Linked DNA regions of Saccharomyces cerevisiae S288C. The protein of the gene in region 2 interacts with the protein of the main gene of each other region in a biochemical or structural test. Each region holds a gene or a part of one and is shown on either strand. Other genes may lie near its edges. The genes, in order: YPT32 and GYP6.

Region 1 (3,266 bases), on a different chromosome or scaffold from region 2:
CATATTCAAACAAACTACCACAGAACTATCATTGGGGTAGGTATAGCTCAAATTCAACAAGGCCTGCCTTAAGGGCCATAAACTATTTTATACTTTCTTTGTTTTTACAAGTGGGGGAAAGAAAGAGCGACAACCGATTTTTCTAACCTTCTTGGAACCGAGAACGGTAATTTCCGTAAATAAAACGCAATTACTGTATCGAGCGAGTTTGTTTTCCGAAACACGCTCTAATGTAGATTCGAAAAAATAATGATATCAAAGATGAGTAGGCCAATATGAAAAAATAACAAAAAACTTAGCAACAGAAATTGAATCATTGTCGTACCCCATCCTTGCGTACGTAAACAGCCTTCCTTCTCCTGCCTACCCCTCACGTCGTCTCGGATAAACCTTCAAAACCCGCAATTTCGGAAAAACTTCCAATATAAACCATGACGAAATTTGTATCCGGGAAGGTACGTGAAATACACAGAGCGAACGTTTATAAAACCGTCTAATTCTGCTCATGCGTGCGGAAAAAAACATACACGTGTGTTTTTAGACTGCACAACAACAGAATATTTAAATCGTAAAAAAAAAATCATATTCTTATCTTCGGCTATTGCAAAATGCAGGCGTCAGGAAAGGTCTATTTAGAAAATGTATGTACGTTAATACATTTTTTCTTGCGTGCAACGAAGGTTAGTAATAAATAACTTGGGAAGGTATATGTAATTGATTATATTTATAAAAGCATTATTAACGGGGGTTATATGTAGACAGAATATGCATGAAACCATGCGACCTTAGTAGGGCACAAAATTTTTAACAACAGTTGCTGGATTTTTTCTTCTTGTCTTCCTTTGGTGCCGGTGTTAAGCTGATGGTAGGACCCTTTGGAGCGCCATTAGAGCCCATGTTGTTGGTACCCGACCCGCTTAAGTCTACTTGATGTTTGCTTACCATTTGGAAGATGGCTACGATCAGTTCTCTAAATGCTTTATCTACATTATCACTATTTAAAGCACTTGTCTCAGTAAATAACATTTGGTTTTCCATTGCGAAATTTTTCGCTTCATCGGTTGGTACTGCTCTTAAATGAGCCAGATCTGATTTGTTCCCTATCAACCCAACAGCCACGTTGTCATCTGCGTTCTCTCTCAGTTCGGTAAGCCAGTGGTTGCAATTTTCGTATGAACTTGATTTGCTTATATCATACACTATAAGTGCACCTACAGCACCACGGTAGTACGCAGACGTGATGGCCCTGTAACGTTCTTGACCTGCCGTGTCCCAAATCTGTGCTTTTATCTTCTTGTTTTCAACTTCAATGGTTCTTGTAGCGAATTCCACGCCAATCGTGGATTTGGATTCAATGTTGAATTCATCGGTTGTAAATCTCGACAACAGATTAGATTTACCCACACCGGAGTCGCCGATAAGAACTATCTTAAATAAATAATCGTAGTCGTATCCGTAATCTTCGTTGCTCATTCTTGGAAAACAATATGCTTGGTTCGCTCTTTATCACCACGCTTTTCCTCTCTTTCCAGCGCGAACCATGCAATGGCCAGCTTTATAGCTGATTCTTTTATTTGTCTTTATTGTGTTGCGCGTTCTAATGGAGGGCGCGCCGTACTATATTATATTATATTATGTTACGCTGCATTCTTCTACTGCGAGCTATATATATGTCAAAAGCTGAGTTTCTCAAGAGCTCTCAGCTTCAAGGCTGCACCATCGGCAGAAGTGTCATTCTCGATTGCCACTTGGGCTCTACTTTTCTCCAGTCCTTCCAGCAACATGCACGCCTTGCAAATGTTATTTGACGACAGATATCCACATCTAGCGCATCTATTGCCGTCAACAAATTTGACGACTCTCTTTCCAGCGTTAGATTTTTTAGCCTTTAATGCCAAATTTTCGCCACTTTGGATGATGTCTATAATGCAACTGGGCCTCACTGCTTCCAGATTCTTCATGTATTCTCTCGCAGTGCCCCTAAACGCTTCTGGGGCATAGGTACACTCAGTGGAAAAATAATCCAGCTTCATGTAGTGCGCATACAGGACAATTTCCTTTTGGTAAGAATATTTAAATGGTTTTGATCTCTTGATGGGAGAGCCGCTACTTTGTGTGATAATCGCAGTCGATTTTTCCAATCTTGCTACGTCACCACGTAGGATATTCATTAGTACTGTCTCTGCCATATCGTCTGCATTGTGGCCGGTGACAACGTGAGATATGCCCAGCTTTGCAGCACCACGGTCCAATGATTGTCTTCTAAAAACACCACAATACGTGCAACTGTTCCTTATACCAGCAACGGATACAATCTCATCCATTGTCCAATCATAGAGGTCCTTAAAGGAAAAAATCTCCAAAGGAAGGCCATACTGCTGCTGATTCCTTTTCACCGTGGCCAAGGAATCATCTCTGTATCCGATGATTCCTTCGTCAATACTCAACAGTACAATCTCAATGCCGTAATCGTAACGGTCATTCAGAAGCTTCAGCATATGCGCTAACACCGTGGAGTCTTTACCACCAGAGGCCCCCACGGCTACTTTTTCTCCCCTCTGAAACAAGTTATTTGCTACAATAGTGTTATGGATCTCCGTCTCGAACACGAGGCAGAAGCATTGTTTGCAAAGTTTAGACAGGTTTTTGGGTCTTCTAATGAGAGCCTTTCTTGAATGACATAGTTCACACAACTGTGATACCTTCACTTTTGTCGGTTTATTGACGGGATCTGAAGGAGCAGTAAACGACATGACGGTTCCTTTGCTTTACTCTTACCATATCGTCTCATCGCCAAAATTTTTCAATTACTAGATTTACAATTTTTTTTTTTAGTACAAATATACTCTCAGGATTTGTAACCCGGATAGTAACTCATTAATTCAAGCACTGTTGTTAAAATGTCTAGCCTTCTTGTTGGCTATCTGTAACCTCCTACCAGTGTTATCGACGTCATCTTCAAGTGCTGTAAGTAGCTCATTCTGTGTTTGCAGCTCCTCGTTCATCTCTAAGGCCAATCCACGTTGTGCCTGGATAATTCGGTGCAGTGCAACCAACTCTTGTTCTTGATCGCGCACCATTTGCATCTGCCCCTGTTGCAAATCGTTATTCGTTCTTCCTTGAACTTCCGTGGTTGAAGAGTTGTCACTGGTGGCAACCCCCAGAAGTCGTCCACGGTCCTGAGCTATGTTTGCTGTACCAATGTCATCGCATTCCTTGAGCAAGGACCTCAATAGAGCGGCGCGACGAGTCACTTCCGTGCTTGG
Region 2 (4,001 bases):
ATTGGAGAAAGCACACATTATCATGGCAAAAGGGGACATCAACACCTGTAAAAATCAAGTACAGGAATGTAATCGCACATACTTTAGATGAGAATGAATGCGCCCCAGTCCCTCCAGCTGTCAGATCCTATTAATTCTTATTTATTTATTTATTTATTTTGGAGGGCAAACTTATTTATTGATCTGGCAAAAATGATCTTTCCCTTTTTTCTTATTTTTCTCTCTATCTCTCTCATTGATTCTTGGTCAATAGTACTCGTTTACTGTCAACTTACACCTTATCTATTATGCTATATAATTTTATGCAAGACATTGAAGTACAATATACGTCGAGCTGCAATATGCAAAAATATCAGAGGGAAACCAGCTCATTAGGAAATATGACATGTGGGCTATCTGTTTGTTGGTGGTAGCTGGGTTTTTTTTTTTTTTTTTTTGATTTTGTCGTGCGGGTGTGCAGGCTGGGATTTCAAACAAATAACAACGAGTAATTGACAAGAAAAACTTATTGGCTTATTTTCTTTTTGTTCTTCAAAATTGTTTGCCTTACCCTCTCCCTCAGTTTGTTTTCGAGTGATTGTCTATTAGGATCAATAGTCAACTTTGCTGTTTCCATACTTAAAACATCACTAGTCTTTATGCCGAACTTCGCATTTATAAAAGTGTCGCAAATCAATCTCATATCGTCGTAATTTTTTCCATACCACAATTCACATAAATTTCCAGTGACCTTACACAGGTCTAAAAACTTTTCATCATCTTTACTGGCATCTTCCTTTTCAAAAATTTTCTTGAAATGCAAAATCAATTCAACAAATTCATCGTTATTATTCGTATGTTCATAGTCACCTTGGCTCACTAGTTCGTGAAGCTCATCGTAAATGGATAACAAAAGGGTGATGATAGTGCATGCAATGAAAATATCCAAGGGATAATTGAACGTCAGGACGTGGTCCCAAACGATTAGCACATATTTTAAGGGTAATTCTCTTAAAAATAACAACCTTGTCCATCGGATGAGCCAGATTAGGTTGGAGTGAATCAGATGGTCTACGTTTTTTTTCTTCCCGCTGCCCGTTTTTGGTGGTTGGTAAAAAACCTTTGAAAACAAGTCTGGCAAACAAATCCTAAAGATTTTCGTGAATACTCTCTTATCCCAGTTAATCAAATTTTCTTCGTTATAAAAAATCGGTTCGATTTGGTTCATTAGCTTGTTAAAGATAATCAGAACGTTTTGCAAATCGGTATTATCGAGATCTGTACCGTGATATAATTGCAGATAAATGACGCTTAATATTTCGTGGAACCCTTGTTTATACTGTAGGTGTTCGCTTTGATGTATAAGCAGGTAATTGTACAAAAGTTGTCTCATTTGAGCATGAACCTTGGGTTCCTGAAATATATCGTCAAGCATTATCCTTGAGAGGTCCAAATCTATAATTTCCAGAGTTTCCCTCAGTGTCAACGGCTTTTCATCACTTCCCTTGGACAAAGAACCTTTAGTTTTGTCATTGTCATCAGACAAGGGATGTTTTTCAACAGCCTCGACGGGAGTCAGCCTCCTGATTCCCACTGAGGAGGAAACGTTCGAGTGCAAGACCCTTTTAGGTACATTTGCATTATGATTTTCGTCATAGTTGTCGCCATCTGCCAGCATAGGCACTGGCACCAAGCCGAACTGGTTAAGGTCCAAACCTTTAAAGTTATCAGTTAACAAGCAGTTGTTGTTTTCATCACACAGAAGCAAAGCTTTCCAGAGCCAGCCTCTACTATTTTCTTTAAAGATAGAGTCATGGTAGAGTTCACCTTTCCAAATTCCCTTCTGCACCAGTTGGTCTCTTGTCTCGTAGTGGTCAATCGCCCATTGTAAGACATCCTTCATGGTTGCATAAGCGAAAAAATACAAACGCACGACAGCTAACCCTCTCTATGTATGCCAATTCTCTTGACAACTCTCCCCCATTGTTCTGAAAAAGGTAATGAAATTAAACGCTGCTGTACCGATTATGGAAAACTCAATGGAAAAATTGAAAAAAAAAAAAAAAGGAACTAGTAATGCCGTAGGAGAAGCGGGTAACATAATATCCGGTTTTCCTTTACGACCGCTTACAGGCCTAAACCAGCGCACCATCCAGTTACAATAACACTTGGAGCATGCGTACACGTGTGCGTATTCTACGGCTGGCATGGGCAAAATAAGACGTGGAATTTTTCTGTGGTCAGAACTTTGCGTCAGTAAATAATTCAAGAAAAAATAATAATTATGTCGAAAAAAAAATAGAAAAAAAAGAAAAAAAGAATACTAAAAGGTGAGTGTTCAGGAAAACCGCAAGCCATGTTTGTTGATTATTCCGGACTGGAGCGTTACACGGATATAAATGCATCTTTTGGTAAGTTGGTCAACACTTACTGCTGTTTTCAGCGCTGTGAAGCCATCAGCGAACAATTGGAGATTCTGAAAAGTCTAGTACCAAAGTGCCACGACATTGTGGCACTTACTGACGAAGACTTTGCTAGTGGCCGTACTGCCGGACTGACGCAGAAATTGTTTGCTATGGCGATGACCCTACACCAGATCACCGACTGTATCGACCTCCTGCAGAAATGCAACACCATAATACCCATCGAGATCGCCAACCCGGCTAGCTTTGAAAGCGGCGCCGCGACGGCGCCGCTACGTCAAAGCTATGCTAGGCTCTTGGATGACTGGTCCCACTACATGGGCCCATCAACGGTAAAACACACAGGCTGTACCAACCGACCCAAGTGGAGATTTCCCTGGCAACAGTCACGGACTATCATCATCCCCATGCTGTTTATTGGCGAAACTGCAATGAGCACCAGGGACCTAAGGTCTGTGCTGCATGATTGTGAGATCAGGCACGCGAGCGAAATGCCGCTGCAGCTACTTTGGACGTCGTCACCGGAGTTGGTGTACGCCACACCGCATGTTGACGACTACGACATTTGGTCGCGCTACGGGTCTGATTACAACATGCAGATAGAGGACGAAGACGAAGCATCAAAAGGGCGACAGCGCAAGTGTGTGGTGCAGTTGGAGGCACTGTTGGGTGCGCTACCTACTACGGACCCGTTGTTCCAATGGTAGCCCGGGCCTTTTTTTTTTTCATCAGCTTCTCTTTTAGGCCGTCGGCCCCGTTCGATGTTCACCCGTCCTGGACAGCTTGCTCTCCCCCCTTCCTCGTGCTGCGCGACTGTTTACGTTATTGGCTTATTGTATTGTTTTCGCATCTAGAACGTTCAGGTTCAATTTACGCAACGGTGTTTCACTCGAAGCATCTGGCTGTACAAGCAAATGCTGCGTTCTCATTCTCCTTTATATAACAAGCTTCTGCCTTAAAGCGTTCATATGTACATACATATACACCACTCAGGCACTCGCATAATCGCACTTAAATACGCAAAATATACAAGATAGCCCTACAACTGCTCCATGGACTCCAAGGACACGCAAAAGTTGCTTAAGGAGCACCGAATCCCCTGCATCGACGTTGGATGGTTGGTCAGGCCCAGTGCCTCCACCAGCAAGAGCTCCAGACCAGGGAAATCCGAGTCCAAGGCCAACAGTGTGGCTCCTGACATCCAGATGGACACTGCTCGCCCGCCCGTTTTCGAAACGTCTGTAGACTCTTCCAGCAGCATTCTTTCTTCAAACGATAAGGGACGCCGTCACTCCGTAGCTGCGAGCTTGCTAATGGATAATCAGCGTGCTAACGCTGGGTCTACATCCGTTCCCACAAACATTCCTCCCCCTAGGGGTAGGTCGAAGTCAGTGGTGGAGACTAACCTGTCTAACGTTGAGGCTGACTCCGGACATCATCACCACCACCGCCACCACCATCACACGGAAGATGCTCCTGCACCTAAGAAGGTCGGATTCTTTAAGAGTCTGTTTGGCCATAGGAAGAAGGATCAGGAACAACAGGAGAAGGAACGAGAAAGGAAAGAGCGCTCACCCTCTCCGACTCACGTGGACCGTG

The links.
Region 1: the proteins of GYP6 (region 2) and YPT32 form a complex in vitro, tested with the Saccharomyces cerevisiae proteins (2 studies listed by BioGRID).

What each region holds. Positions count from the first base shown.
Region 1 is NC_001139.9:91,999-95,264, reverse strand, and holds YPT32 (Rab family GTPase YPT32), read right to left. Parts: upstream 1,474-3,266; coding exon 805-1,473; downstream 1-804. Other genes in the region: NCS6 (Ncs6p), read right to left, coding at 1,674-2,753; VAM7 (Vam7p), read right to left, coding at 2,883-3,266.
Region 2 is NC_001142.9:357,795-361,795, forward strand, and holds GYP6 (GTPase-activating protein GYP6), read right to left. Parts: upstream 1,883-4,001; coding exon 506-1,882; downstream 1-505. Other genes in the region: succinate dehydrogenase SDH9, read left to right, coding at 1-134; YJL043W (uncharacterized protein), read left to right, coding at 2,336-3,109; MHP1 (Mhp1p), read left to right, coding at 3,455-4,001.